Cricetulus griseus: one gene and its partner. The protein of the gene in region 2 purifies or fractionates together with the protein of the main gene of each other region. This does not show direct contact. Links are inferred from orthologs where the notes say so. Each region holds a gene or a part of one and is shown on either strand. Other genes may lie near its edges. The genes, in order: Csnk2a2 and Nkapd1.

Evidence for each region.
Region 1: the proteins of Nkapd1 (region 2) and Csnk2a2 purify together in Homo sapiens (affinity purification with mass spectrometry; 5 studies listed by BioGRID and IntAct, counting the BioPlex papers as one, with this or other methods). This does not show direct contact. The link is inferred for Cricetulus griseus from reciprocal best matches to the Homo sapiens genes NKAPD1 and CSNK2A2.

Annotation. Positions count from the first base shown.
Region 1 is NC_048596.1:171,635,279-171,651,967, reverse strand, and holds part of Csnk2a2 (casein kinase II subunit alpha'), read left to right. Parts: intron 1-1,465; coding exon 1,466-1,525; intron 1,526-6,019; coding exon 6,020-6,103; intron 6,104-6,808; coding exon 6,809-6,919; intron 6,920-7,438; coding exon 7,439-7,540; intron 7,541-8,190; coding exon 8,191-8,291; intron 8,292-9,588; coding exon 9,589-9,737; intron 9,738-12,082; coding exon 12,083-12,159; 3' UTR 12,160-12,176; exon of another isoform or gene 12,177-14,029; intron 14,030-16,689.
Region 2 is NC_048597.1:162,365,380-162,381,630, forward strand, and holds the end of Nkapd1 (uncharacterized protein NKAPD1), read right to left. Parts: intron 14,435-16,251; coding exon 14,334-14,434; intron 12,217-14,333; coding exon 12,067-12,216; intron 11,133-12,066; coding exon 11,079-11,132; intron 9,812-11,078; coding exon 9,310-9,811; 3' UTR 7,085-9,309; downstream 1-7,084. Other genes in the region: Sdhd (succinate dehydrogenase [ubiquinone] cytochrome b small subunit, mitochondrial), read right to left, coding at 1-144, 2,345-2,461, 5,538-5,589; Timm8b (mitochondrial import inner membrane translocase subunit Tim8 B), read left to right, coding at 5,756-5,839, 6,778-6,945.

The DNA of each region.
Region 1 (16,689 bases), on a different chromosome or scaffold from region 2:
CCTGTGCAGTTGATCTCTCTTGTATCCAAGTTGGTATCAAAGCCTAGACCTGAATATTCTGGTTGCCAGTTGTGACCAAGTACTCGATAAGAAACTTGTCTTGAAGCACAGGGCTGGGAACAGAAACCTGGGGTTTGGTTCTTAGGAAGCTGAAGCTACGAGGGTAGAAATGGTGAGTAAGTGTGAGGACAGCTCAGCTACCCCACCCCACCCCCCACGGCTTATCCCCAGCCCAGGGGTGAGACCCTAGCAACTCAGCAGCTCCACAGCTTATGGGCCTGAGCCAGCAGCTGTCTGAGGTTGATAGAGCTATACAGTCCCACTAAACTGGAAAGGCAAGTTACTCTTCCCTAAAGGGGGAAGGGAGGAGTGGCCTCTTCCTCTACACCTGTGCTTTTTATTAGTTTCTTTGTCATGTATTCAGATAAGTGATTTTATTTTCCTCTTATAGAATCACAGTGTAGGCCAGCCTGATCTATAAAGCTACACAGAGAAACCCAATGTAGCCAATCTTTGCTCCTTGGCGCATCCCTGTGATGTGTGATTCTCTTTTCTAATAGAGGGAAAGTTTAAAGTCTTTTCAATTAACTTTGTTTATAGAAAGGGTTGCCTAGATTGACAGGGAAAGATTTACTTGAAATTTTCTATGAACAACAATGTCTAACTTTGCTTGTGGTACTCTGATACTCTGCTCCAAGAAATTGAAATTTATTTCAGAACTCCATGAGGTGGATCTCTGGATTATGAGTAATGAAAGTTTCCATGAGTGTATTAGCTTGTCTTTTGGTCTCTTTGACACTGCTGCCCCGTCCCCCCTTTTTTAATTTATTTGTGGGTTTTTTATTTTTTTGAGACAGGGTTTCTCTGTGGTTTTGGAGCCTGTCCTGGAACTCACTCTGTAGACAAGACTGGCCTCAAACTCACAGAGATCTACCTGCCTCTGCCTCCCAAGTTCTGAGATTAAAGGTGTGCACCACCACCGCCTGGCACCTTTTTATTTTTTAATGCCTTATTCCATTTTAAAAAAATGTCTGTTATTGCCTGTGAAATCTTTTTCAGCCAGGAATTGTTTGGTAGGGAACAGAGGGCATCTCCAAATGTCCCTCACTTTCCTGTTCCTTTACAAACCATTTCATTCCCCTAATACCAGTCCACATCAGCTGAGGAAATTCTCCAGGTGCTATGTGCTGGGTGGACTTAGCTTGATGGAGACAACTAGACTTCACAGCAGTGTGGCTATGGTTATTAGAATTGTGGAAAAGTAAGTAGCAAAGATCAAGTTGGCTGAAGTGTTAACTTTTCCCCTCTCTACTGAAGGTGGGATGCTGACTATTCATCTTTGCCATTCCAGGTCAGGCAGTGAAGTTGTGGGTGTCTGTTGTAACTAAGTTTGCAGAGGAAGGCCAGAGTTTAGAATAGCAAATACAGACTAAATTGACTTTCTGTTCTCTGAAATCTGTTTCAGCAACTCTACCAGATCCTGACTGACTTTGATATCCGGTTTTATATGTATGAACTACTTAAAGTAAGTAGCATTTGTAGGTGGTGCTTCTCCCCACCCCCACCCCACCCCAAGGCTTATTCCTTTAAGAAATTTTTTAAAAGAATTCAAGCAGATTCAAGCAGAGTATTTCCTGGTACCCAGAGAATCTAGTGAGACTTCTGATGAGAATTCTGTTGTGAGACCTTATAGAATTAAAAAAACAAAAACTTAGAAGACTAGCCAAGCTCAGAACTCCCTGTGGCTCTTGTTGGCAGTTGAATTTTTTCTTTGACAGTTAATGAATCCTAGTCTTCTGTGTAGAAAGTCACATTAAACTTAAATAAAATGGCTTTTTATTGCTAATAATCTCATGAGTTAGCCTGGTAACATTTTTTTAGATTCAAGTCTGCCTGACCGAGACAAAATGGTCTGGGTTGGCCTCATTCATGTATTTGTGATGTAGGCTGGCATTGCTGGAAAGTTGAGGTCCTGGTCTTTCAAGTAGCATAAGAATGGAGACCTCAAAGTTAAGCACTTCAACCTGGCCTTGCTGGTTTGACCAGAGTCAATCCTATGGCCAGCCTTGACTTAAAAAGGTATAAAATGGTCATTGTTTCTTGATGGAAAAGTCATGAAGAGGGTACAGAATTGACAGTCATTTTCCCCAAACTGTCTTAACATCCGTTTTATCTATCCCTCACACCAAGCGCTGACTAGCCCTTAATCTGGGAGAAGTGATGTGTGGACCTTCTAAATGACTTAAAAATACCAAGTACTGTAAAGAAAAAAAAAAAAAGAAGAAGCATTATTAATTGACAGAGGAATGTTTTCATTTGTGTAGGTGATGCACTTGTAAAGCATTCTGAAAATGCTACATGTATCTTTTAGGGTAATGAATCACTAAGAACTTAGTGAGAACTATGAACTTCCCTTTCCCTAGAAGTGCATTATAAATACAGGCTTGTCCAGGCATGGTGGTATGTGACTTTAATCCTACCACTGGGGAGATAGAGGTGGAGGTAGGTGGGTCTCTTGAGTACAAGACAAGTCTAGTCTACATAGTGGGTTCCAGGCCAGCCAGAGCTACAAAGTGAAACCTCTGTCTACAAAAATAATAATTAATAATAAATAAATAACGATATTGCAAAAACTTGGGGGTACGGGTTAGGGGTTGTTGATCTCAATTAAGAAAATTTCCAAGGTTGGGTTTGTGTGGGAACTGAAACATTGCTTGAACAAAATACCAGGTTGAAATAAGGCTGGACTTCAGGAGTGGAAGTTTGAAGAACTGGCCCAGTAAAATGAATGCTTTTCCTTAGAATTGTACTTGAATGATATGCCTGTTGCTGGAGCCAAAGTGGTGGGCTTGGAATTCACGCCATGTCTATTGAGCTTGGTTTTTGTTGATAAGAGCTTGACCTGGTCCACCTTATCTGTGTCTTCTCCAGACTAGAAATCCAATAGGAAGAGGTTTGCAGTATTACAAACAGCAAACTGTATTTCCTAAAGGTCCTCCCAGAAAGCCCCACACATGCACCCTTGAGAGCCACTGTCCGTTGCTCACAAGTGCTCACAAGTCAATATTCAGGTTTTGTAGATTTTGGCCAGCACCAGCTAGATAACAACAGAACCTAGCACATCTGTCCTTGGTGCTGGGGGCCGTGCTTTTGTCTGGTGATAGCAGCACTCTAGCTCTCCCTGCTAATGAATGCTCAGAAACTGTAGCAGATTTTTAAGACTGAAGTCTCCTCAGAATTTAAAGGCCTGTTAGGAGCCCCAACAGGGTGTCTGGCCAGTGAATGCGGCCAAGAATTAATCACTGCTACCTTTTTGCCCCCAGCCTTCTGTGTGTTTTTCACATCCTGGAAGTATTATCTGGATTAGATCTTTGACAAAGACTAGGTAAAATAGCAGAAATCAACATTTTCCCTTTTAGAAAAGGATAGAAGCAGGAACCAGGAAATATTTAACTTCACAGCCAGTGTAGAGGAAAATAAGGTGAAGGCTGTGTGACTGTTCAGTGACCACCCCCACCCCCCAGGCTTTATGTGATCAGATTCAGGGGAATATGCCCTCATGGACCCTAGTTTCATAAGAAAACTGTCGAGATGGGATTTGGGTGGGAGTTATGAAATGCTGCTTAAACAATACCAGTTGAAAGAAAGCACAACAGCACATTGGAGTCTTGGCTACAGCTGTTGTAAAATAAATCTTGAGTTTCCGTGATATTAGACTTTATATGTGTAAGCCTTCAGCCAAGTGTCCTTAGATCCATGGTAGGCATTTAAACAAAACTTAAGAATTCTATTCTGTCCATGCGATACTAGTCACATGCCAAGTGCTCAGTGATCTTGCATAGCTGGTGGCTACTCTACTATACACCACAGCTATAGATTGCCACTGTTTGCTACAAAAAATGATGGACAAGGCTGGTGGAGAAATTATGGATGTCCAGAAAGTGCTCTTAAGTCACCTCTGTCCCCAGGTTTTGTATTGCCCACTTTCCAAATTCAAATTAAAAGCACCAAACACTGTCTGTTACTGTTGCTACAGATTAGGGAACTTTAAATGTTCCAATCCCAGTTCTCCCTCCCTCTTCTCCTCCTGCTTCCCCCACCCCACCTCCCATCCCCTCCTCAGAGAGGGTAAGCCCTCACCTAGAAAGTCACCTAAGTCTGCAGGGAGCATATTTTTGGTGTGCTGATCATCCTGTTTAAATACACCTCCAGCATAAAGATGCCAGGTACAGTGCCCTTGGTCTGCCACTGCTCCCCAACCAAGTGGTACTGGGTATCTAGAATTATTTTTGGCTGTTAACAGCTTGAGTGGCACAGCTGACACCTAGACTAAGTAGAAGTTCTGTTGAACATTCTTTAATGCAGGATAGCCCTACATGAGGAATTTTCTGGCCTCTTGAAGCTTTCCAGTGCTCTTTAAGCCAAAGGTCTAACTTTGGGGTTCACAAAGATGGCCCATGATATGTATGGAAAAGAAGACTTAAGAGCTGTGAGTGTTTGGATGGTGTCAGGGAGTGTATTAGATTTAAAAAAAAAAAAAAAATCTGGATATAGTGAGCATGCCTTCAATCCCAACACTCAGGAGTCTGAGGCAGGATATCAACTTTGAGGTCATCTGTGTGCAGAGAGAGGGCAGCCTGACTGATCTGTGTAACAATCAAAAGGAAAAGGGCTTATTAATTGAGACATTTCTTCAAAGGCAATATAAATATAGAATGATCAATAAACATGTAATGATAATTTGCTTCATCACTAATAAGGAAATACAAATCAGAAACACATGAGATACCACGTTAACGTACCTAAATAGCTGTAATTAAAAAAGGAACAGTGACAGGAAGTGGTGGTGCTTGACTTTAATCCCAGCACGTGAGAGGCAGAGGCAGGTGAGTTCGACGTCAGCCTGGTTTACAGAGCAAGTTCCAGGACAGGCTCCAAAGTTAGACAGAGAAACCCCGTCTCAAGGTGATGGATACCTTTAATCCCAGCACTTAGGAGGAAGAGGCAGGCAGATCTCTGTAAGTCAGAGCCAGCCTGGTCTATAGAGTGAGTTACATAGAGAAACCCAGTCTTGAAAAAACAAAAGAACAGTGCCAAGTGTTGTTGAGAATGTGGAAAGACTGGAACCATTGTGTGTTGGACTTGAGAAAACAGGCAGTTCCTTAGAAATTGTAAAGCTAACATACAACAAGGCACTTCTGCCCCTAAAAAAACTTACACACAGTTTGCATACTCCCAAAAAAATCTTACACATGGTTATTCATTGCAGCATTGTTCTCAACAGCCAGAAGTAGAAACAACCCAAGTCAGTAAACTAGTAAGTTCATAAATGATTCAGTCTCAAAATTAAATAAGCTCAGTGAGAAAGGTGAACAAAGTACTGTAGCATTAGGAATGTCTGGTAGGAAGAAATCTCTAGAACAGATACCCGATCCACCAGTGGCTTCAAGAAGCTTGGCGTGGGCATTATCTCAAACTCCAGGAAACTGTGAAGGTGCTGAAAAGCTCTGAAACATGGTGACTTGGTTATACAGCTGTCAGTTTACTAAAGATCATTGGCTTTTAACACCACAAAGCCTTTTGATTCTATTACAGGAAGTAGTTTTCTCTTTTAGAATAGTAATGATAATTCTTAAATGCTGGCTCAGGTTTTATGTTTACGGAAAATGTAAATGCTTCTTATCTGGAAAACTCATAGCCCACATAGCATAAGTGTGCCTTGTTTTAAGATACGTTAAGGTGTCATTCTTCATGCCCACATGGATTCTGAGGTCCCACACTCTGGCCTCTCATCCCTTCTTTTTAAAGCAACCTTCAGCATGATCATTGACAGCCCCCTTTCCACTGGCTGCCAGCTGTAGTGTCCACGGAGAGCATCTTTTTGTTTCTCTCCTTAAAGGCAGTAAGCTGTCCTTTTTTGAGACTGTTCAAGTTAAAGTGTCACAAATAATAAAAATGTGTTTGCGTTGTGGGTGGTAGAGGGTTTGCTTACTTTTCTCTGTGCTTTCTTACCTACTAGGCTCTGGATTACTGCCACAGCAAGGGAATCATGCACAGGGATGTGAAACCTCACAATGTCATGATAGATCACCAACAAAAAAAGGTACCAATCCAGCCAGGCAGCACCAAATCTTTGCTGAAGGTTTAGGAAAAACCTAAACATTGTCCAATAGCATTGTGGTGTATGTAGACCACACTGATTTCTTAAGTAGACTGCATTACTTTGACTTCTCTAGTCTCCAGGAAGTACACAGAGACCTTGACTTTGGTCACTAGTTTTATTTTGGTTTTAGTGTTCAAAGGGCCTCAGGAAGAAACTACATCAGTGGTCTCTGCTTTGATTCTTCGTGAGCATTAGACCAGTCAGACTAGCCCTAAAAAAAATACACTTGGGTGTTTCCAACTCTGGTTGTCATAGACAGGGTTAGCTTAGTGACCAACTAGAGCAGCACTCTAAGGGTGTGACTTACGTGGTCACACACGTAAGCCCTTCATTAGTGCCTGGAGCTTATGTTAAGAGCTATGAATGGTGGGGGCATGTGTTCCACATGTAAGTAGCATGGAGACCAGAAAAAAATTAAAAAAAAAAAAAAAAAAACAGTATAACTTAAAAGGGAAAAAACTCAGATATATTCCAAGTACTGTGCTCCATAAATGACCTCATCTGCAGTTTCTGAAGTAAACTTTTTCCTGGGTACACTGTGTGTGGCCGAATACCTGTTGTAGAGATGCAGTGTGGCCTCGTCATAGGCAATGGCATCTCAAAGTGCACCTTACCCATTCTGTTGGGTCTTTGTCTTTCTCATAGCTCCGACTGATTGATTGGGGTCTGGCGGAGTTCTATCATCCTGCCCAGGAGTACAATGTTCGAGTGGCCTCGAGGTACTTCAAGGGACCAGAGCTCCTTGTGGACTATCAGGTGAACTTATTAGTGAAGCTGCGCAGAGCTATTTTTATATTTCCTTAGGAATTTTCCTGGTTGCTGTGTGGTCACTTTGGATGCATTCAAAACCCAGTTATTCTACTCTAAAGGTTTTACTCAGCAACATTAAAAAATTAATTATTTTTATGCATGTATGTATATGTGCCACAGCCCATGTGGGAAGGTCGGAAGACAACTTGCAGGTGTTTGTTCTCTCCACCATATTGGTTCTTGTTACTAAACTTAGTTTAGTAGGCTTGACAGCCTTTACCAGCTGAGTCTTTTGGTGGCTTTTTGGGGTGGCGGGGTGCGGTGACTTAGTTACAGAGTAATTGCAGAGAGGCTGAGGATGGAACTTAGTAGTAGATGTTTGCCTAATGTGTATAAGGCTCTCTCAAAAGTCAGAGCTAGAGGTCAGATGTCAAAAGTCAGAGCTAGAGGTCAGATGGATATGAGAAACTTAATCAATGAGTGTCTAACTATCCTTGACTGATGGATCATCCTTCCTGCATTCAGATGTATGATTACAGCTTAGACATGTGGAGCTTGGGCTGCATGTTAGCGAGCATGATATTCCGAAAGGAGCCATTCTTCCATGGGCAGGACAACTATGACCAGGTGAGCAGATTCATCCCTTGCTTGTTTGTCATGAATGTTAGGGAAATAGCCTCTGGGGACTGTGTAAGCTAAAGGATTGTTCAGAATTGTATGAGTGAGCATGAGGGCCCCAAGCATGCCGAGACAGACAATGCTGCCTAGTGAACTTTCAAGATGGGTCTAAGAAGTAAGGCACTTCTTTATCTAACAAAATCACATTATAGTTATTTGATCAGTGTCCCCAAAGATGTTAGCATCTAAGTTATATCAACCCTTTAAAAGCAGTTTAGGGGGCTGGAGAGATGGCTCAGAGGTTAAGAGCACTGACTGATCTTCCAGAGGTCCTGAGTTCAATTTCCAGCAACCACATGGTGGCTCACAACCATCGGTTATGAGATCTGGTGCCCTCTTCTGGCCTGCAGGGATATATGCAGGCTGAACACTATATACATAATAATTTTTTTTTTTTTTTTTAAAGCAGTTTAGAAACTTGCATTCATGTGAGTGTTGTGTTCTTAAGTCTCTGTTTATCCTAGACTCGGGTCTCTGTTAAGTCATTTGGGATTTGAGTGGCATGGGATTTCCTGATTCCCAGGCCTAGCACAGTGTCCACAAAAGCTCACAGAAAGCACTGTGCTTGGTGGTTGGGTCAGTTTTGTTCTGTGTTTCAGCTTGTTCGAATTGCCAAGGTTCTGGGGACAGATGAGCTGTATGGATATCTGAAGAAGTACCACATAGACCTAGATCCACACTTCAATGATATCTTGGGACAGTAAGTAAGAAAGGAGAGGGAGGGAGGGAGAGAAGGAGAAAGGAAAGAAGGAAGCACTTTGCTCTACTTCAGAAGTGGTAAAGTTAGACAACATCCAGTTTCCCTTTTCTAACTTCAATATTGATATTTATTTACTTATTTATTGAATGAACCAGGGTCTCAGTGGCTATGTAGATCAGGGCTAGTTTTGAACTCACCGGGATCTACCTGCCTTGGCCTCCCAAATGGTACGACTCCTATTTATCAGTAGAAAATGGAAAATAAGCCTTGTGTAGATATGCATGTTTCTAATCACAACACTTGGGAGGCTGCAGCAGGAGAATCAAGAGTTTGATCCTGTGGAAGCAAATGGAAAATAAAGTCATAATGTTATAGAAAAAATGTTTATTTGGTCAAAGCTTGTGCTTTTTCAAAAGAAATTATTTCTTCTTGTTTTATATGTAAGCCTGTTTTACCTGTGTGCACATAATGTACTGTGTGTGTATGCTTAGCCAGAAAAGGGGTCCTCTGGAAGTAGAGTTACAGATAGTTAATAGCTACCATGTGGGTGCTGGGAACTGAACCTGGGTTCACTGGGAAAGCAGCCAGTGCTCTTAACTACTGAGCCATCTCCCTAGCCCTGCATATGCTTATTTTGATGGCAAATCTTAGAAAACGAGGCTTCTTCAAATAAGTGAATAGCTTATTTTCTGAAGTTTTATAATAAATATTAAGGCATGCTAAATTTTCAGGTACAGTACCTAGTTTCGTGACTTAGGTATTTTGGGGTGGGGATGGTCTTATTTGTTTGCTGTGTAGCCTCCTGGCCTCAACCTGAGTGCTCAATTATAGGTGTGTGCCACCATGTCCAGCCTCAGTGCAGTGTGTTAAAAGTAAATGTTTGGCTAGTGGTCTTCAGGCATTATTTTATGAAATTGCTTGTTTCTAAAGCCAACCTTCTAAATATATCTACTGACCAGTGCATCACTTAGTCACCGCCAGGCCTTACTCACGGTTGATTAAAAGACAGGCATAAGAGTAATCCAGAAAGATTGAACAATTCTCCCTCAGATATAGATATTTTCAATAGATTCTGCTCATCTAATAATTGAGCAGTTTTATGTCATGGTTATAACTGTGGGTGACAGTGTGTGTATACTAGCCCATTTGAAGTGGGCACCGATAAGAATGAGCTTCAGCTGTTGCACGAAGTGCAGTATTCTAAGGGTTTGTTTATGTTATGTCTATTAAAGGAGGGTTTATCTGGTTGTTTAGTCTCAGAATACTAATATTCACTTTGTTTGTTTTTGTTTTTTAGACATTCACGGAAGCGCTGGGAAAACTTTATCCATAGTGAAAACAGACACCTTGTCAGTCCTGAGGCCCTAGATCTTCTTGACAAGCTCCTGCGGTACGACCATCAACAGAGACTGACTGCCAAAGAGGCCATGGAGCACCCGTACTTCTGTGAGTTATTAAATGGCAAAAGATGTCACCTTTATCTTTGGGGTCAGACAGAAAACTAGGTATTTGGATTTAGATCAGCCTAGGAATTTGGCTTTAAATTTTATTCATTTTACTGGACCACTGAGGCCATTTTATGGGTGATTTGATTAGTTCTCGAAGGTGTTTGCTGTTCAATGTTAGTAGTACCTCTGAGGCCAGGCTGTATAACCCACTGTCATCACCCTGGGCTTGTATACTGAAAGGTATCTAAGATTTTTTTTTCAAGTGCAAAAACCTAATCAAAGATTATTTTTTCTCTTTTAAAAAAAATTTAGGGGGGGTGGAGGAGGAGGGATGGGGGTGAGGGAAAGGGAGAAGGGATTGACATATGAAACAAGCTTGTTTCTAATTTGAACCAATTAATAATAATAATAATAATAATAATAATAATAATAATATTTAGTTAAAAGTAGTAAGATCAGGTCGGGTGGTGGTGGCAGCACACACCTTTAATCCCAGCACTCAGGAGGCAGAGGCAGGCAGATCTCTGTGATTTTGAGGCCAGACTGGTCTACAGAGTGAGTTCCGGGACAGCCAGGGCTACACAGAGAAACCCTGTCTTGAAAAACAAAACAAAGTAGTAAGATCATTGCTTTTTTAATGTGATTCTAAAGGAAGCAACATGTAAGCAAGAGGAATTGCAGGTAAGCAGGTAGCAGGTATGGCAGCTGGATTCTGACCTGTGACATCTCTCGGAGCATATGTGTTCCTTCTGCACTTGCTTGTGTTTTGGGTCCATGTAGTGTTCTTCCCACTGAAAGTCTCCTAGACACATCACCCTTGTCATTGACAGAAGAGGGTGGCTTAGTCTAGTCATGGAAGAAGTTGAATGTGACTTATCTTCATTTCTGTTCCTTAAAGTTTTTGTCTGTTGTTTGACCACTTTTTCCTTTGGAGTTTACTAATTCCCAGTAATATTAACAGATAGGAAGGACTTATTGCCATGATCTTAAACTTTAGGCAGAAGTTTAAGGCAACAAAAAAATGTAAAGGGTCTTCTCATTTAGCCTTCTGGACCCTAAACAGCTGACATTCCATTGTTTGCTTTCTAATTTCCAACACAGAAAGCTGCTTTTATCCTTCAAGATAGGCCACTTTAGGATATTGGTGTTGCCCTGAGTGGTGGTCCACTCCTTTAAACCAAGTACTCAGAGGCAAAGTTAGTCAGATCTTTGTGAGTCTAAGGCCAGCTTGGGATACATAGTAAGACTGTATCTTAAAAACAACAACAACAACAAACAAACAAACAAAATAGCCAGGCGGTGGTGATGCATACCTTTAATTCCAGGATTGGGAAGGCAGAGGCAAGTGGATCCCTGAGTTCAAATTGTCCAGCCTGAACTACAGAGTGAGTTCCATGATAGCCTAGGCTACACAGAGAAACCCTGTCTCAAAAAACAAGCAAGCAAGCTAGCAAACAAACAAAACCAAAATAAAAAGCAGTACTGGTGTAAACTCATGAGGCAAATGTGTAAGGATTGCAAATTTAAGACCATCTAAGGTATATAGTTAGGCCCTGCCTCAGGAATAATAATAAAAACAACCTGATAGATATTTTAGATAATCATTGTTTGTTTACTTCCCTAAATAAACTCCATATTTCACTGCTGCTTAAAATGGCTGGGGTTTTGTTTGTTTGTTTTCTTTTTTCTTGGGGGGGGGGCGTGTCCCAGACAGGGTTTCTCTATGGCTTCGGAGGCTGTCCTGAAACTAGTTCTTGTAGATCCGCCTGCCTCTGCCTCCCAAGTGCTGGAACTAAAGGCCTGCGCCACCACCTCCCAGTTGTCAATGGCTTTTTTATTCACCCTTGTTTATGACATGCTAGGTATGATGTTGGTACTCAGAAATCACCAGAAATATTGTGAATTTTGAACAGTGGTGAGTTGGGGTCTCTGCTTTTTAGCAGTAGGGTCTGTATTCTAAGGAAGTAGAAAAAAATCAACTCTATATAATTCCTCAGTGGGCATGAGGGCCACCCTGGCCTATGCTGGAGGCTAAGGCTAAAGAAGAATGAGAGTTCAGTGCTAGTCTGAGCAACAAAAAAAATTTTCAGAAGGAGTTGAGGATGTGACTTAGTTGATTGCCTAGCATGTGTGAGACTGGGTTCTATTCCCTGCCTTGAGGGCAAAAAGAAAAGGAGTTCTTTCCTGGTCATGTCTTGGTGCCTGGTTCTTGTGTGGCCTGAGTTCCATGTAAGTGTCTGTCTTGGTGCATATAGAAGAGGAAAGGCAGGTTAGCCATGGCATTCCCACTACACCCTCAGTGCTGGTGCTGACATGGAGACCTGTGCTCCTCCTCTCTTGCAGACCCTGTGGTGAAGGAGCAGTCCCAGCCTTGTGCAGAGAACACCGTGCTTTCCAGTGGCCTCAGCGCAGCACGATGAAGCCTGGGGAATCGACGGTAATGCGGCACTGATGCTTGCCAATAAAACCAACCAACCAAACAAAAACTTGAAGGAAACTGCAGTGTGATAAAAAGAAATTCTAATCATTCCTTCTAAAGGCAAAGAAGAGTAAAGACCTAAAGCCTGTCAAAAGCAAGAAACTCCCCAGTACTAGTCTGCAGGGAGCTGCGCTGTACAGTGTGGCAGTGCACATAGTTCAGGATCTGAGGGGACTCTCCCTTTGGAATGCATGGGAGATGAGAAGCTCGGAGTTGTTGTACACGTACCTGCGTTTAACAGGATACCACTGTTGAATTAACCCGTTCGGTCAACAAGCTCTGAATATCTGACTTCCTATCTATTCCATTGTGGTGTCTGGTTTTCTTCTGTGAGAATTCAGGCTCAAGTTTTAGCAAGTCAGCAGTCTATTCTGACACACCAGCCTCATTTACAAAAAAAAAAAAAAAAAAAAGAAAAAGAAAAGAAAAAAGAAAAGAAAAAAAAGATTAAAACAGTGACAGTATTTTTTTTAAGCTCTTTTACAAATTCATGTGTTATGTATTTTTTTATGACATGAGCTCTCCAGGAAATGTACCTCATTCTTGCAGTTTTCTTCTAAGTATATTCATTTGGAAGCAAACTGCAGTCACTCTCACCACATCCTCTTTAGTGTCGGAAGATGGCACTGTAAATCTTGAGATGCCATGAACAGGTCCCAGGTTCATTAGAAGTTTCATGCTGTGTGCATAACTTGGGGCTCACCTTTATTGATTTGCCTAACTATTGAATCTTGTTGCTTTTTCTTTTCTTTTTTCCTTTTTCTTTTTTCTCTCTTTTTTTTTTTTTTTTTAGCGCCACCCCCCATAAGGAAAACTTCACCATTTCTCAGCACATCTTTGTGTGGGCACCTACTTCAATGTACCACCCTAAAACAAAGACTTATTTTTGTTCACAGCCATAGCTGCAGCTGGAACGTTAGTCTTCCGGCAGGTCAAAGAGGGAGGGAAGTGTTCTATTAGAATGTATTCAGGAAAGATCTCACATATGCAAAAGGCACACCTACCATCTTCCCTCTTTTTCACCCCGTGACAAACAGGTCTGGCTACAATCAGGGTGATGGGCATTTACAGCTCTAATAGGTCATACATGAGTGTAATGGCAAAGAAGTATCTGACATGCAGACGATAGCTTGTGGGCAAGGCTGTCCTGTGACTCCTGCAGCTGGCTGGAGAGAGATGGCCAGGGCCTGGGAGAGGAAGGGGGCTCCTGGAGCAAGTGTCACAGCTATGTGCTAACCTTCATGTTAGCAGAGAGCTAGATTTTGTTTGGGGTTTTTTGTTTTTGTTTTTTATAGAGCTGATTTCATTTGGGGGACTGGTCACTGACATGGTTTGCCAGCTAGTCCCTTCTCCTTGGCTGCAGAGCCATGCATCAGCTTTGGGGACCTAACATGCTTGGGGTATCTACCACATCACACTTAGGGTTTCTTCATTAACTATTTAATAATGCCATACATTTTTATAAGGTTAGATTGTTTGTTTGAAACATCTGTTTACATTCCAAATTCCAATAAACTTGTATTGGTATTGGTAGCAGGTCCATCTCTAAATGCAGATTCTATTTTGTCGTTTGGTCTGTGTGAACGTAAAAGACAAATGTAACTCTTCTTGATAGTATGGAGTTCAGTTCATAAGTTAAAAAGTAAGATCTTGGGCCAGTGACATGGCAGGTAAAGGCATTTGCTGCAAAGAATTCAGTTCCCAAAATCTACATGGTGAGGAGAGAGCCTACTCCCATGAGTTGTCCTCTTTCCACACGTGCACTGTGGCATGTAAACACACACACAATAAATAAAGTTTTAAAAATCTTCTTTAAGACCCTTTATAAAGCCAGAACTTTGACATCTAGTTAAGGTTTTCATGCAGACCCTGCCTCCTTTCATCTCACCTTCTGTAGATTGATGTTTACTTTTGTTCTTCCTGAGAATCGGAAACATGACATGGATGCTACTGACCCTGTGTTAGCATGTCAAGTAGCAAACCTCAAGTGTTGGGAGTTACCATGGGCCTTCTCATGTGCCCTTGGTTGTCATGGGATGTGTCATCACCATATGTCTTTCCTGTTTTCTAACCTCATCTCCTTGATCACCCATGTTTCTTCTCTGTCTTTTAAGTTGTTCAAGAGCCTGTTGAGGTGGGGGGTCTCAATTGAGCAGTGACCCCACCTCTCTGCCCTGGGTCCTCCAGAGATAGTAAAAACTTCTGGGAGAAAAGTTGGCCATGTTCCCCTGACTCTCCCCTTTGGCATGCTCTAGGAGAGAGGTCCTTGAGTGAAAACTCAGCAGGGCATGTCCTTTGTAATAAGCAGTGCCTGTATTTTACCTCTCTTCTGCCTTAGCTCTGGAGCATTCTTTGGACTTCATGCTTGCTCCCTCTGGATGTGGACTCTGCCTGGGCTGGTCTTTACCAAGTTACAGTGAATCTAGTAGACATTTTACCTGTCTCCAAATCTATCTTGGGTACAGCCCCTGGATATTTTATCTGGGTTTGGAGAGTTTTAAAGGGTGTGCGCGCACGTGTGTGTGTGTGTGTGTGTGTGTGTGTGTGTGTGTGTGTGTGTGTGTGTGTGTGTGTGTGAGAGAGAGAGAGAGAGAGAGAGAGGGAGGAGTTGAGAGAGAGAGAGAGAGGGAGAGAGAGAGAGAGGAGTCTAGTCTTATATACAGACTAACCTGGTAAATTGACCCACTCGGTATCCTTTACAATGAATATACATACTTCTTATACTCATCTCAGTAATTTCCATTTGTTTGCTTCATTACCTTATTACAAGTTAAAAGTGCCTATGACAAGGACTTAATTATTTCCTAATGAAAAGCAAAAAAATAAAACACAACCCACAAACCTATAGTGGGGAACAGGGTAGTGTTGCACTGTCATCTCAGGTACTGCCTGTGTTCAAGAACGGGCACCTGGTGTGCTGAGCTGAGGCCCCAGGGCTGACTCCAGATCAGTGTCTCCTTGGTATCCACAAGGAGCATGACCTCACAGTTGCCTGGGCTGAGCCATGCTGAGAATGCTAACTAAGAAGTGTGTTGGTGACAGTTTGTTCTCCAGTCAGCTGACCCTGCTCCTGCCCCTGTTGTGGGTGGCTGCAATAGAAGCCATTGCCTTTGTAATTTGAGCATGTGTTACTGAGGCTTGCTATGGAGTAGAGTACCCAGCTAGACTTCCTTGTGGGCCTTCCCTTAACATGCTCGTGCCCACCTGGCTTAGGGCACATGGCTCCTTTTGGGGAAGGGAAAGTATTCTCAGGCTGACTGCAGAGAGAAAGGAACTGGGAGTCCTGGAGACTTAGAGAAGGTGGCTGGAGAGGGGCAGGTGAAAGAAAAGGTTCCAATAAGAAAATGAAACTAGGGGACACTAAGCTCCTGTCACAAATGTGCTTGAAGACACTGCCCTTGGCTTGGGTCCACTGGCCCTTGAGAGATAGTTGCCAAGGTCCTCAGGGTCTGTGCCTACTCAGGGAAACAACCTAGGTTCTCTGGGAGCATGCTGCTGTGTCGGCAGAGCTTGAGGACAGGAACAATGGGAAGAGTTTCTATGTGCATTGAGATAAATGTAGGAATCAGTTATCTGTTTCCTTTAATGCCAGTTTAGAATCCAAGATATGTACAGGGAAGGGCAGTCTCTGGAGCTCTTAATGTGAGTTAATGGGTAAGAGCTGGGGAGAGGTGGTTGCAGAATGCTAGCCCTTCTGAAAGCAAAAGCAAGCAGATCTTGTGAGCACACAAGAACCTGAGTTTGTCAGGGATTTTAATAAATTAAAACTGACTGTCCTGTGGTAAGTCCCAGCATGCAGATGATGGGGGAGGGAGGTGGCCAGGAGCACTTGCTTTTGTGCTGGGTGGGTGTCTTTGTTGTAGACGCTGGCAAGGTTGGATTATGCAGCAGATGCATATTTTTGTGTCAATACTCAACAATGTGCTACAAATGTGACACTTAACCCTGAACTGCATGTATTGGGGATTTAAAAAAAAAAAAAAAACCTTTGAATCAATAAATTTAAGTTTTTCACTTGCTGGCTCTTCTTGCTGTAAATGGTGACTAAGTTTGGGACAGAAATCTTGAAATCCAGAGGCAAGCTTGGATAATCTTCAAGAACCAACGAGCCTTCTGTTTGCAGGAAAACAACATTGCCTGTGTTGTGATCCTTTCCAAATGAACACTACAGACCCAGTTCCACGATGTAGCCTGGATGACTGACATGGGCGGCCATGGCAAGAATGCCTGACTTTCCCAGCTAGGAGACAAAGAGTTGCTGGGGACCTTAGCTTGTTTGCATTTCCTGTCCTGGCCCAGGGAGTGGGGAGTGCCACCGGCATAAACTTCGATCTTTGAAGACGTATGTGGTGGCTGAGGCCATCACTTTGGTGTGAAGACTTCTTTAGGAGTGAGACTGGAGTGTCGTGGTGGATTTGTTCTCTACCTGTTTCTGAATGGCATCACTTAAGACCGCTGCTTTTCGGAACTG
Region 2 (16,251 bases):
AGTGACCGTGCAGGGTGAGGGCAGCAGCCAGGGAGTAGTCCACCACAGAGCAGGGATTCAGGTACCCAGCTGGAAGCAGGCCCAAGAGCAAAACACTGACAGCCCTCTCACTAGTCCAATGGAGAGATGCAGCCTTGGAACCAGCTATAAAAATGAGGAGATTCACAGAGTTGAGGAAAGACAACCACTTCAACAAATCCAATGATTATTAAAACTATCAGGATGGTAAATAGTATACTTGGCAGACCCATTCTGAACACAGAATCAGACAATAAGCATATCCTTCGTGTCTCTGAGCACAAGATACATTTTCTTAAAGGCAAGAAGGCAGGCTACACATCTGTGAAATCAAGGCAGCCTTGGACTTCAGTCAAACAGGCATATTATGAATGTAATTTAGTGATCACTAATGGACCGCTTTAAAATAATAATACTAATAACTGTCTAATCTTTGGAGAAAATGTAGTATGTTTTAAAAACAGCTTAAACCAGCCAAATGAAAGAGAAACATGGATCCAAGAATACCTTTTAAGGTTATAGTCCTTCTTCCTCTTTACAATTCAGTGCCAAACAAATAAAACACAAAGACTGCTTTTAGACAAGGGGAAAACAACACAGGCTCTAAGCATTTCTTTTGTTTCCACCAGTAGTTTCAGGGTACCGAACTTAAGAGTGTGGCTTCAGCGTGCGGATGTGATCCCTTATAATGAAGAGGAAGTTTCTCTCTCTCTCTCTCTCTCTCTCTCTCTCTCTCTCTCTCTCTCTCTCTCTCTCTCTCTGTCTCTGTCTCTCTCTCTCTCGGTCTCTCTTAGGTGGTGGTCTAAGACCTGATCACAGCACATTCTGCATCGCCGCATCCTGAACCTCCAGGGGCAAAGACCATGGAAGCTCCTTATCTTCATTGTATGAGTGTTCCCCAAATAAATATTTGTTATTCTTTTATTCGGGCATTCATGGACTTCCTTACTCTGCCCTCACTTTTTTTTGTTTGTTTGTATGTATGTTTTTTTGAGACAGGGTTTCACTGTGGAGCTCTGGCTGTCCCCAAACTCACAGAGATCCACCTGCCTCTGCCTCCCAAGTGCAAGGATTAAAGGCATGCACCACCACCATCTAGGGGCTCTAAGCATTTCTAAGAAGCTATAAACTCCTCAGAGAACCTGACAAAAGGAAGGAGTTCCTACCCAGAAAAATGCACATGGGCATAAACATTAAGACCTAAGCATACAACTTTAGGAAACTTTCTTCAGTCCCATGTACTCCAGAACCAGTCTACTAAATCTAACAAAGGAATCCAGAAATGAAAACTGGTAGAAAACAAAAAGGGTTTAAAAGGCAAAAAAGCCCAACAGCTCTAATCTCTCTAATTCTTAAGTGGCCGATTTAAGAATTGGGAAGGACTGAAATGTAAAACTTAAAAACCAAGACACTTTACAAATACTGATCTTAAAGGCCAGGCATGACAGCCCCAAGGAGGCTGAGGCTGGAGGACTGTGCCAGTCTGGAATACAGACTGAGTTCACCTACATTCTGAGACCTAGCTCAAAAAAACAAAAAACAAAAACAAAAACAAAAAACCAACAACAAAAAGACAAATAAAAATGCATGATTTTTAAGAATGCAGCAAGTTTGAGGCTAGTCTGGACTACAAAGCAATTTTCAGACAAGCCAGGCCAAAATAATTATTTCTCTCTCTCCAGACTTTAAAAAATGGAAATATGGGTTAACTCATTATTTATGTTCAGATTGTCTAATGTGACTATCCACACAGTATTTATCTAATAAATTCCATATGGTTTTAATCAACATAAAAAAAATTTCCAGCTGTAAATCCATGATTTAGTACACAATTGGCTCCTCTCCATTGGCAAACAAACAAAACAAAACAAAACAACAACAAAACCCCCAGTAACTGAGCTACACTGAACAGACTTCCTACAGAGCTGCTTTCTTGACAGCAATGTAACAAATTTTGAAGTTAGGCCAGAAGATTCTCTGTGAATACAAATGGCATCATCACTCATGTTTGCACCATCTGCCCAGGAGTGTAAACTAGGTCTTCATTTAACCAGCAGACAGGACAGACTCCCCAAGAGACACCAAGACCCGCCAAATACATGATGATTAGTCCAGATAGATGATTTGTCCAGATAAAGATGGCTGAAGCACCAGTAACTGTACACAACTGTCTGGAACCCAAAACCCTCTTCTGGACTCTGTGCACCAGGCAAGCCAAGTACCCAGACAAGACAAGCAGACAAAACACCCATACACTTAAAATAATAAATAAAATTGTTAAACAATAAATAAAATTGTTCACAAGGCATCGGTAGAGAGAACATACAATGGTAGCTTGGTGACAGGTGAATGTGCTGTGTGCCATGCCATCCTGGGGTAGGCTGGTCCTGGAGAAACGCTGAGACATAAGCAGGTTTGACCACCCGGCTTCGGAGCAACAGAGCTGAGGAGGTAAAACAGGGATCATAAGCACTTCCTAGCAGGACCAACAGACTTTCTAAACTACCGTGAACATGCCACTCAAATCATAAACTTTTTTTTAAAGGATTTATTTTTACATGTCTGAGTGTTTTACCTATATGTATGTCCATGTACCATGTACATGCCTGGTGCCCACAGACATCCTTCCCCATAACTGGAGTTACACCTCTCCTAGACCTAGAGTTATAGTTATGAGCCCCCATGTGGGTGCTGGGAAGAGAACCCAAGTTCTCTGAAAGAGGAGTCATTGCTCTTAACCATTTCTCCAGTTCCAAACTTTTATTTACAAAAAAAAAAAAAAAAAAAAAAAAAAAAAAAAAAAAAAATCTGTGCTGGGGATGTAGTTCAGTTGCTTGCCTAGCATGCATGAGGCTGTTTCCAGCACCACATACAGCCCCAGCACATGACAATCAGAAGCAGAAATTCAAGGCTATCCTCATCTTCATATGGAGTTGGAGGTCAGCATGGGATTACATGAGACCCTGTCTCAAGAACAACAAAAATCTGCAGACTCTTATAATAATAACTCACTTTGCTTTCATTTATTAAAAACAAAAAACAAAAAACAAAATCTGGTAGCCTCTTGTTCATTTACTCATCTACTTATCTAGTATTAACTACAATCAATACTGTGCTTGGCAATGAAGCAAGAAAGATAAGGACAAACGTCTTTGCCCTCAAGATAGTCAACATAGTTTAGAAAGTTCACCTATTGCCCTCTTCCTTTTCAAAACCAAAGCTCATTTTGTATTCCCGAACTCCTTACTGTCTCCTTTTGGATCCTGCCTCTGATGTTCACTCAGCTACATCACAGATTAGCTATTGGTTAATGAGCAGCTAAGTTAAATAGCTCTCTAAGGTTTGGTTTCATTTGCAGAAGAAGAATGTTGAGTTTGCTTTCTGTTACTATGATAAATACCATGACCAAAATCAACTTGGAGGAAGAATGGGTTTATTTTAGCTTGTGCTTCCAGGTCACAGTCCATCATTGAGGGACATCAGAGCAAGAAAACACAAAGGAAGTGAAGCAGAAGTCACAGAGGAGTGCTGCTTACTACCTGGCTCACAATCAGCTTGCTTTCTTACTCAGCTAAGGCACAAGTGCCTAGGACAGTGCTGTCCACAGTGGGCTGGGCCCTCCCACATCAACCATCAATCAAGACAGTTTCTCACACACATGGCCAAAAGTCAATCTGAAGGAGACAATTCTTCAGTCAAATTCCCTCTTTTCAAATGACTCTAAGTTGTATCAAGTAGGCAAAAATTAGCCAGTAGTCAACAACTGCATTAACTTCATAACACTGCTAAAAACTAGGCAACATATGCAAAGGATAAATGAGTTCCCAGAATGCTAACTGCATATATACACACAAAAAATAATAATTTAATATTTTCTCTCTTTTTTTTCTTGGAGGTGGGGTTTGTTTTTTGAAACAGGGTCTCACTTTATAGTGTTGGCTGGCCTGGAACTCTCTATGCAGACCAGGCTGGCTTCTAACTCCGAGACTTTCCTCACTCTTTCTCCCTTGCCCATGACCTTGAACTTCCTGATCCTCCTTCCTCACCCCCAAGCACTAGAATCGTAGGCCTGTTCAAGCATTCTACCAACGGAGTTGCAGCCCAGCTCCTCCTGCTCTTTCTTCCTTCTCTTTCCTTGCTTCTGTGAAGTGTTATTCCAATCATTTTGTACTTCCCAACCATTCAACTGTGGAATTGTTTTTAATACTTCCTATATCTGTTCTAGAAATCCAATAATAGCCAATAGCCAGTCAGGGATTTCCCTTCTGTAAGTCCCCAAATCCTACTGACATATCTCTTTAACATTTCCTGAGACTGCCTTCTTTTCCTTGTACCTTCCAAGCTCAGGACTTCACCAGGCTAGTCTACCACAACAGTGACTTATCTCATCTCCCCGACTTGCATCCAAACCCGCTCTATCACCATCAAGCCATCCTTGATGGTGATACTGTTACTAAACAGTAAGTTTAGGCTGACAGTATATAGTTTGGCAAAAGGGCATGTGCTTAGCATTCATGAGATGCTGGATTCAAACGAAAAAGACTGCCAGGCAAGGTGGTACACACCAGCTACTTCGGAGGCTGGGCCAGAACCAGTTTCAGCCAGCCTAAGGAACAATAATAACAACTAAAATAAACCTACACTGCAAACCTATCAAGCCTTTCAATGTTACTGCCAACCTGGGCAACAAAGAAATTCTGTATCTTCCAAATACTATAAAGTAAATTCTGTGATTTAGCTCATTTCACCTTTCTAGGCTAATTTCACACTTTGGCTTTCAACATACTATTTTATTTGTTCATTTCTATCTCACACTTCACATCTCGTGCATGCTAAGCACATTTGTATCCTTTCACCACAGCTTTTGCTGCTCTCGGTTGCTGACTATAATGTACTTCTCTGCAGAGCCAAGCCAGGTTAGTCCTTCCAAAACAATTACCCCAAACTTTCTCTGGACTCACATTAACAATGTCTACACAGCACAGCAGTTTTTGCGTTACATTATCTGTACCACCTCCCCCAAGTTCTTTGAGAGCAGAAATTGTTTTATTCGTGTTTGCATACCAGCCTCTTGTATAACCAAAATGCCTGGTTAAAATGATTATGGAAGCCCTGAGTGTCGGTGCGTGGCTGTTAATCACTCGGGAACAGTCGGGAAGCTCCCGGAAAACCCAGAGCCTGATCTACATGGCTAGATAAGAGGAAAGCCAGCACTGCACAGCAAGCCGCTGTCTCAAAAGATTTCCAAACGGATTACTTCCACCCACACTCACATTAGCCCGGCAGCACACCGCAGCCCGGAGGCTGGAAGTGCCAGCTGGGGAGAGCAGGCCCTAGGTAACCACTTGGGCCTTCGGGCTACAGCGGTCCAGGCTGCGTCCTTGTAGGCGACTCCGGGGCCAAAGAGGAAGAAGTTCCTTCCTCTCATGACGTCCCACCACCTGGTGGTCGAGCCCTCACTCCTTTTCTTCCCCTGCTCTAGGTCGCAGGAGGAACCTCTGACGGTCAAGACACCTCACCTCGGCCTCCTTGGCCACTGCAGAGGACTCCCAGCTTTAAGAGAACCGCCATGTCGCTTACGAGGGCTCAAGGTCGCTCAACAACCCGGAAGTAGTTGTGTAGCAAGCCCCGCCCCGCTTGAAAGAAGGGCAGGGCAACCTGGTGGGTGAACCGGAAGGGGGGAGGCGGTGTGTTGCTACCGTGCGTGCGCACACCAGCGGAGTCACTCACGCCGACCATGGCCGAGCTTGGTGAAGCAGACGAAGCGGAGTTACAGCGCCTGGTGGCCGCGGAGCAGCAGAAGGCGCAGTTCACTGCGCAGGTACGATGATGAGGGACAAGGGAAGGAGGGTGAGGCGCAGGCCCTGAGCACCAACGGAGGCCTGGACTCTCAGCACAGCAGGCTCACTCGATGCTGGATCCCGGCTGCTCCTCCCGCCCTGGTGGACCTACAGTGTTCACTGTCCGGGAGTCTAGTGCTGCGTGGGACGAAAGAGGTGCAAAGCAGGGGGAAGGTTTGGGCGACAGAGGAACATGGTGGTCATATTAGCCGGCCACTGGTACGGAATGGTATTAGAATATCTGGGTTCCGACCTTGAGATTCAAGGGCCTGTGTGGAAGACACCGGTCCCCACCTTGAGTTCGGAGTTCGTTGTTGCCCGCTGCCTCTCTGCTTTGAATCATGTGATGTTTTTGGAAGTGATGATCATTATTAGATAAAGGTGAGCGCTGCAATAATCAGTGTAGACTCGGTAAGGTAGGGTTTGGCGTTTTCAGGCGTACTTCAAATCAGTATGCTAACCGTTGCTGACCTTGGAAATACTGATAGCTGTCCTGAATTTCAAGAGCTGATTACTTAGTACTTAGCTTCCCAAGTAATATCACTATGTGTCTATAGGTACAATTCCAAACCATGCTCAATTTGGAGAAATTAGATCCTGACTTCTTCCCATTTTGTAATAGTGCTAGTTGCTTTGAGAATTGTGGGCAGGCAGTGATGGCCCACTCCTTTAATCCACTCAGGCAGATCTTTTGAGTTTGAGGCCAGCCAGGTTTACAGAGCGAGTTCCAGGTCAGCCAAGGCTACACAGAGAAACCCTGTCTTGAAAAACGATAGTACGGTATATAAGGATGAGGAAATTACTGGTGACTAGACACCAAAGTGATCCCATGCACAATATATTAAAAGTGATTGTTATCGAGACACAGAATAAAAAATATCTATAGACTTCAGTGATTAAGGTTTTTCTCTCCTCATAGGTGCATCACTTCATGGAACTATGTTGGGATAAGTGTGTGGAGAAGCCAGGAAATCGGCTAGACTCCCGCACTGAAAACTGCCTCTCTAGCTGTGTGGACCGCTTCATTGACACCACTCTTGCTATCACCGGTCGGTTTGCCCAGATCGTACAGAAAGGAGGGCAGTAGGCCATACCTCAGGAATGACAGAAGATCCAAAAGACTTGTTACTAGGCAGATTGAATGGCCAGTGGAGAGTTGTCAACATGTTGAGTTAGCATCAGGCAGCTACCAAGTCTGTTGGTGCTAAAAAGTAACAGATCAAATGTCCAAAAGTGAAATTTATTTATTGGAATTCAGTAATTCCAGGTTGTATCACACCGGTTAATAAATGTGACGTCTCTAATTCTTTTTGTTCTAAGTCCCAGTTTAGGAACCAACATAAAGATCTCTGAATGACAGAACATTGAAAAGACATGTTCCTTGGCTGGTAATGAAAATGGGAGATCACAGGTTTTGAAAAGTCACCCTAAGCCATCTTTAAGAGGATTAGAGGAACTATCAAAGCCTTAGCCTAAGGCATGGAAGGGAATTTAGGGGTAAGAAAGGTTTACAACAGAAAACAATTTTATTGCTTATATGACTGAGAAAAGATGAACATGGTTGGGGGGGGAGGGCAAAAAAAAAAATCAAGCAAAATGTGCATTTCTTGGAGAAGAGAAAAAGCCTGTTAGTATGGGAGGAAGGTAAGGTCAAGACCCAAACAGAACCAACTTCTTGGAAGTGCCTTATTCTGCAGGACCATGTTCCTGAGTCTGTGCTTAGAATCAGTACTTTTGTAGCACAAAACTGCTTTAAAAATACATGCCCAAAACTACTTCCAACAAAGATTTCACTTGCTTCAAGAAGGTTATGAGGTAGTAACTAGACTCTCCTCTCATTAAACCTCTACTAAACCCAAAGAAAAAACATACCATGGAACATTGACATTTGAGTACCAAAGTTAAGTAGTGTTTCAATATCCCAAAAGGTAGCACCTGCTCATAATCAAGGGCTAGGGCACATCTGGCCAACTATGTATTTTAAAAACAAGTACTTTATTAGAAGTATGTTCCATAAAGAGCACGAATTTAGTTAAAACTATAAAATGCCACTTCATGGGATGTCAGCATAGTAATATTCTATTGCTGGTGTCTGTCATGCTAACCATGAAGTATTTTTGTATTACACATGCAAAAAGTAAGGCCAGGGAGGTTAAATTAACCTGCTCTAGAACTCAATCAATTAGTGGCAGAACCATGACCCACACACAATCTTAGGTCTGAGTTTTTGTGCTTTCTACTCAGTACCAAAAGTGACGACCTCAAAAACAAAAACCCTGACAATGTCACTTTACCTTTCCTCTGAATGAAAAGTCAACTAACTGTTCTACCAGCCACTTTGCAGTGGTATTTTGGTTTCTTTTAATATCAGGATCACAGTATAGCAGGGAGAAATAATATGTTCTTGATAATCATAACACAAAGTAAGACTGGGAAGAAGGGGGTTATATCCCTGAGAAGCGTGTTTCATTTTGGAATTGATTCAACTGGTTTCAGGGAAAATCTAAAATTCGTTAATAGAATTAGAAATGAACAGGGAAAACAACAGGGCTGGGGTATGGCTCAGTGGTAGAGCACTTGCCTAGTATATGCAAGGCCTTATATTCAATCCCCAACTTGGAAAAAAAACAAAACAAAACAAAAAAAAAACAAAACACTTAGATGGCTGTTGCCCTGAATCTCTTTGAAAGCATCATTGGCAACCTGACTACTTCCTAATTCTTTCCATTTGATAGATAGGACAACTGAACATTTAAATAATTTCAAACACTTAGCCCATTTTAGGCACTATATAAAGCAATGAAACTAGAAGACCAATTACTATCCAGTTACTGTTATGTTTGGGTTATACTAAATGTAGCTGTAGACCCTGACCGGCAGGGAAATTAGGCAGAAAACCCCACATTCCTTAGCAGTCATCTGTGGATCTTACTACGAAGGGAAAAGTTTTGTTTTTATACCCATTTATCCACTAAGTAAATTAGATACCTGTAGGGTCCAACTATAGAAGAATCAAAGCACCAAAGCGGAAGCCAGGAAACCTCCTGTATAAATAGCAATTGTTTCCTTGTCAAACTATTCTATCTAGCACTATTTCAATCCTCCTTCATCCCAGACCCTTGATTCCCCCAAATCCAACATTCCAATTGGTGTACCCAGATCATTACTGATTTCAGCTTTCTGGGTTCTTTAATTTGCTATATAGGTATTCTACCCTAAGTGATTAATTGCAAAAAATAATCTCTTCAAGAAACCTTAACAAAATACCAGATTCCCTACTAACAACAAAAGGGGGTGGAGATTAACAGTCCAAAATAGGAAAAAAGGTATCTGTGGCAGGACAACTCTGACCTCCGACCTCAGACTCCTGTGCTGAGTCACTGGCAAACCCCCATTATTAAGAGCTGCAGACAACCAGCGTCCATGGGAAGCAGGACTGCTACTTTCCCACTTAGTCATCCTCTGAGCTTTCAGCAGACCTTGCATCCGTAGCCACTTTCCAGTTCCTGCGCTTGCTCGTCCTCTCCTGTACTTCAGGGTTAGCCACAGGAACATGAATACTTTTCTCTTTCTTTTTCCGTTTGGTTTTCTTAGTGTCTCTTTCCTCGATTTCCTCAGAACTGCTAGCTGCTGAATCATCTGACTGGGAAGTAGCCCTTTCTCTCCCCAAAGATAAAGATTTTTTAGACTTTTTCCTGGATTTTTTCTTGCTCTTGTGTGGTTGTTTCCTTTTCCTGGTACTAGAAGTTCCAGTTTCTTCTGAGAACTCACTTGAGGAATCTGCTGTTATGTCCACAGCTTCCTTTTTGTTTTTTTTCTGTTTTTTGTGGGACCGTTTTTTCTGCTTCTTTTTATGGGATTTCTTTGACTTCTTATGTTTTCGGGATTCCTGGGCAGATGCTTTCACCTGGGAAGATGTTTTTTCCCCATTGGTAATATCTTGCTGGTCACTACTAAGGAAAAGTAAAGACAGAACTTTTATGGAAGAAAGAAAATGTATATTTATATTTACTATTCTGCATTAAATTATTAACATCTGAACTTTAAATCAGAATTTTAAGCTCGGTATGGTGGTACACAGTTATAATCCCAGTACTCAAAAAGTAGATCTTCCAAGTTTGAGGACAGCCTGCTCTACATAGCAAGTTCTAGGCCCCCAGGACTACAAAAAGAGACTGTCTCAAAAAAACAAAAAAAAACCAAAAACAAAAAAAACAAATAGTACTGGTGAGGTTTCTATTTTATTACTCTCAAAAATGTTTCATTTCCTCATCTTTAAAATCCTAATTTGACCTAACCATACTGGTATAAACCTGTAATTCCAATGTTTAGAAGGTAGGGGCAGTAGGGCCAGGAGTTCAAGGCCACCTTAAGCTATAGAAAATCCTGTCGTCCCCTCCCACCCCCCTCCAAAAAAAAAATACACCTCCTGATCTGCTATGCTGAGTTACATATGAAATACTAAATACCATTGTGCTCCCTTATCCATAGTTTCATTATCTGATTCCTGTCACCTATGGTAAATTCCAGAAACAATTTGTAAGATTTTAATTGCATGTCATACAAATTCCTCACAGTACTACTGTCCCACCTAGGACCTGAGTCATTCCTGTGTCTAGTTACCAACCCTTTGGTCATTTACTAGCCATCTGGGTTATTAGATCCACTGTCTGGTATAGCTTATCTTATTTAACAATGACCCTAAAACACAAGCATGATGCTAACTAACAATTAGGATGTGGCAGAGAAAAGCATGAAGATATGTCCTTAAAGTGAAAAAAAAAAAAAAAAGATTTTAAAAGGTATTGTGTGTATAAGAAAGGAATAGAATATGGGAGCTAGACAGACAAGACGATATAAAATATCCAAGGTTTCAAGTACCTTTAAACATGTTCACTACAGATGATAGTGAACAATTAGTTTCTAAAGCTCTCAGGCTTGCAGAATACCAAACTTCAATCAGGAAAGGTAAATAAGAATTGCTTCCCAACAAGATTTCATTATGTCCCAGGCTGGCTTCAAACTCCCGGACTCAAGCAATCCTCCTGCCTCAGGCTCCTGAGCAGCTGGGACTACAGCCATATACTACCATTCCAGGTTCTAGTTATATTTTCAATGACAAATAAATCTTTTGTAAATATTAGGAACTCTACTTATGGCGTAATTTTGCATTCATCTTAGGTGTTTGGTTTTGTTTCTCTAGTAAGTGTATTTACCTACCTGTCTGTTTCAAACTCTTCAGGATACAACTCTTTATATCCACTGTGACCCCATCTGTAAAATGACATCATAATACATATATTTTTATGAAGCAATGCATATCATTTTTGGAAATTAAAACACAATTAGATTTTGGACTGCATGAATACACACATACAGAGAACAAAGGAAAAGGGGGCAAACTAAAAACACACCTCAGTAACTGCTCTATGTTCTATACTATCATCTCAGACACAGGATGTTGTTCATTGAAAGGTTGTATCTGTTCTTTAAGAGACACTAAAGAACTCTCCTCAGCGGTGAAGTCCTTTTCCCAAACTACTTTATAATGTTATCTACACTGGGACTTTCTAAAGATAGTTACTGAGAAGTGATTCATATGACAAGAGAGTTGTCCTTTTAAAGTGCAGAGCCTATGGCCCAAGGCAACCATTAATCTTTCTGTCTCTATGGATTATCCATTCTGGACATACCACATAACAAAATCTTAAGAGTATGGCTTTTGTAAAGTTTTCAAGGTTATGCATATAGACTTAGTACAGATCCCTTTTACCACTAAGTTCTATTCCACTATATGGAAAGCCTACATTCTGTTTATGCATTCATCAGTCACAGCCATTTGGATTTTCACTTCTTAGTCATTATAAATACTGCTGCTATGCACACTCACAAATGTTTATGGGGTCAATCTGTTTTGAAGAATTATTTATACTTATGTGTAAGACTGTCTTGTCTGCCTGTATATATGTGCATCACATGCATGTATGATGCCCAAAGAGCTCAGAAGAGGGTGTCAAATCCCCTGAAATTGGAGTTACGGACACTTATAAGTTGCCTTGTAGGTACTGGGAACAAAACATGGGTCCCCTGCAAGAGCATCAAGTGTTCTTAACCACTAAGCCATTACTCCAACCCTAGGACAATAATATCAAGAAATACATATTCTTGGGCCAAATATCACTAGGGGTAATAAGAAATAGTCACAAACCTGTCTGGCATGTTGGATTCATAATCATATAACTTCTTGTTCCAGGATTTAGCCTTAAGAAAATCATCATCTAGGGCCCCAGAAATTTCATTCTTTGTCCTCCAGTAGTCTCTGTGACTTTCTTCATCAAAACCATCACTTCTCATCCGACTATAAATGAAAAAAAGACAAACGTTTAGAATTAAAAGCAATCTGTGATGCCACTTTATAGAGCATTATAAACAAAACTCATGGAACATGCTGACACTACCTTTGCACCACATAACATTGATATCAGTCATACTCAGCCAGTAATACATCAAAGTCTACATACTCCATGGACACATTCCCTTGAAATTCCTTTTTCTTCTAATGATTTCTCTAGGTAGCTTTAAAAATCAGGTTATGACCCATCTCACATACCTCCTTCCTGTGCTTAAGGGCACATGAGGCTCTAGAGATATTCCTAATTATTCATGCATCCTACACCTCCCATCGAGCAGTCAAGCCTGAATATATATGGAACTTATTTTGTAAACCAGGTTGGCCTTGAACTCAGAGATCCACCTGCTTCTGCCTCCTAAGTACTGGGATTAATTTGGGTGTGATTACCTAGTCACACCCAAATTATTACAAAGGAACTATGAAAGCCCATTGACTTGGACGAAGAGAGTGAGTAAATGTGGCTTTTAGTAAGAAGAGTTGGCTCAGTGGTTAAGAATACTTGTTGGTCTTGCAGAGGATGCTAATTCAAATCCCAGAACCATGTCAGGAGCTCACAACTGCCTATTAACTCCAACTTCAGGGCATCTAATGATCTCTTCTGACCCCTGCAGACACCAACAGACACAGACACACATAATGAATAAAATAAATACTTTTTTAAAAAAAGGTCTAATGCCGGTTGTGGTGGCACACACTGGTAGTATTTGCTGAAGGAGGCAGAGGCAGGAAGATCTCTGTGAGTTCAAGGCCAGCCTGGTCTCCAGAGGGAGTGCCAAGATAGGCTCCAAAGCTACACAGAGAAAACCTGTCTCGAAAAACCAAAAAAGTCTAATAGAAAGACTAAAGAAAACAGTATGACTGACCGAATTAATAAGACTCCAGGGATGGCTAAAGGGCTAAGTTGCTAAAGGTGCTTGCCTGGAAACACTGATGACCTGAGTTCTATTCCCAGAGCCCACAGTAGTAAAAACAAATTCCTGAAAGTTGTGCTCTGACTTTTAGTGTTCACTTTGGCACACCCATATTATATATACTCACACATCATACACAAAGTTGCCAACACAATAAATAAAATTGGTTTTGTTTTTGTTTTTGAGACAAGGTCTCTCTTTGTAGTCTTGGCTGGCCTGGATGTACACCAGGCTGCCCTCAAACTCACAGAGATCTATCTGCCTCTGCCTCCTGAGTGCTAGAATTAAAGGCATAAGGTACCATGCCTACCAAATAATATAATTTTTATAAGATGAAAAAAGAAATAGACACTCCAGTAGAAAATCTTTAAAGCTATTAGACAAGGTTGGAATCCATAAAACCTAAACATTTATAGTAATCCAAGGAGAATTTTTTAATTCCCCACTGAAAATTAGTGCAGAAAGCCAGGTGGTGTCGACCCATGTGTTTAATCCTAGCACTCAGGAGGCAGAGGCAGGCAGATATCTAAGTTCAAGGCCAGCCTGGTCTATAGAGTGAGTTGTAGGACAGCCAAGGCTACACAGAGAAACCCTATCTTGAAAAGTCAAAAAGAGAGCAGCTGGGCAGTGGTGCTCACACCTTTATACCAGCACTTGGAAATCAGACAGGCAGATCTCTGAGTTCAAAGCTAGCCTGGTCTACAGAAAGAGTTCCAGGACAGCCAGGGCTATATACACAAAGAAACCCCATCAGAAAGCGAGCAGACACAGGGGAGAGAGGGAGGGGGAGGTGGAGAGAGAGGGAAGGAGGGAGGGAGGAAGGAAGGAAGGAAGCTAGGAAGGAAGGAAGCTAGGGAGGAAGGAAGCTAGGGAGGAAGGAAGCTAGGGAGGAAGGAAGCCAGGAAGGAAGGAAGCCAGGAAGGAAGGAAGCTAGGAAGGAAGGAAGCTAGGAAGTAAAAACAAACTAGTACAGTCTAGTCATGTTATCACAGCCATTATTGTTAGACTTGGACCTAAATTTAGGAAACAAGGAAGGCTTAATGATTTGCTGAACTGAATTCATCTATCCTTAACATACTAGAATGTTTTAAAGCTAAAGTTAGTAATTCTGAAAAAAATGAGTTATTTTTGGTTCTCAGAGGCACACTTCACCTTGAGCTGCTGGGTACCGTGTTCCTTCTGGTCCCCTGGTAAGCATCCTCCATTTGCTTCTCTAGTTCTCTGATTTTCCACATGTCAGATTCCTCCTGAATCTAGACGTTTTCAAAAGGGAAAGAAACAAAAATAAGTCACTAAAAATAGCACTTTGCATCACAGAAAAGGAACTAGCTGAAAGTACAATCTGCCTTAACTATGGGGTACAGACTGGGCTATGATCTGGAAATAAATTCTGGTTTCTCTAAGGAGTTTAAAAAAATGACTAGACAGTCCAGGGCAGTAAATATAAAATTACACAACAGGTTTTGAACCCCTGCATAGATATACTAATCACATCATCAATTTTAAATCCTGCTGAAATCAGAGAGTAATAGCCCTACATGTTTCTGAGGTGTAACATGACCACAACATCTTAGCTCAACAGTAAGTGATTTTATAGGAAAGATAAAGCAGGAACCATGAGAACATTCCACAAAGCAGCAGCAGAAGCTTGGTGACCATACCAACATCTCTTTTTTTTTTTTTTTTTTTTTTGTGTGTGTGTGTGTGTGTGTGTGTGTGTGTGTGTGTGTGTGTGTGTGTGTGTGTATAAAGAATTAGGTTATCTTTCTGTTTTTGTTTGTTTGTTTTTTTCAAGACAGGGATTCTCTATGTAGTCCTGGCTGTCCTGGAACTTAATCTATAGACCAGGCTGGACTTGAGCTCAGAGATCCACCTGCCTCTGCATCCTCAGTGCTGGTGTGCTAAACACACATTTTTTTAGTTTTGTTTTTCTCAGTACCATACATATACACTTTACCACTAGCCTAGTACCCCTTCCCAAGCCCTGCCTCTTTGTTTCTGTTTTATTTTTTATTCTTGTTGTTTTTTTGGGGGGAGGGGGGATTTTTGAGACAGGGTTTCTCTGTAGATTTGGAGGTTGTCCTGGAACTCTCTGTAGATCAGGCTGGTCTTGAACTCACAGAGATCCACCTGCCTCTGACTCCCGAGTGCTGGGATTAAAGGTGTGCACCACCAGAGCCTGGCGGATAGAGTCTTTTTATATTAAGAAAACAGAATGGGTGGACAGATAGGTAGATAGATATACATTTTTATTTACCTTGTGTAAGAGTCAGAGAGAGAGAGAAAGAGAGAAAGAAAGAGAGAGAGAAGGGGCATACACGTGGGGGTCAGAGATAACTTTTGTAAATCAGTTCCTGACTTCCACTTACTGAGTCAGGGTCTCTCTTGTTTTCTGTCGCTGCACTATCTACTCCAGACTAGCTGGCCCTCAGCTTCTGGCCAATTCTTCCATCTCTACCTGCATTAGGAATACTGGGCTTACATACTTACATCACTGCATCTGGCTTTCCACATGGGTTCTAGAGATCTAACTCTGGTGATCAGGCTTGCATAGCAAATACCTGTGCCATCTTCCCACCCCATTTTGCTTTTTAACATTTATATTATTTTACTTTATGTGAATGAATGTTTTGTCTGTGCACTATGAGGCATGAAGAAAGTGTTGGATTCCCTGGAACTAGAGTTACAGATGGCTAAGAATCAAACCCCAGATTCTCTGGAAAAGTAGCCATCTCTCCAGCCCTATATGTTTGTTTTCTGCTCCTTGCCACATAGAACAGGCAAGCCATGTACTTAACCTCCTGTCTCTCTCTGTCTCCTAAGTTCTGGGATTATAGGCATGCACCATCATACCTGGTTCACATTAAAATTCTTATGAGGCTGGGCAGGGCTGGTGTTTGTCTTTAATGCCAGCACCCAGGAGGCAGAAGCAGGCAGATTTCTGTGAGTTCAAGGCCATCCTGGCCTACAGAGTGAGTTCCAGGACGGCCAGGGCTGTTATACAAAGAAACCTTGTTTGTATAAACTACAATTTTTTTTTTTCTTGTCAGAAGCAAAATAACATAGTTAC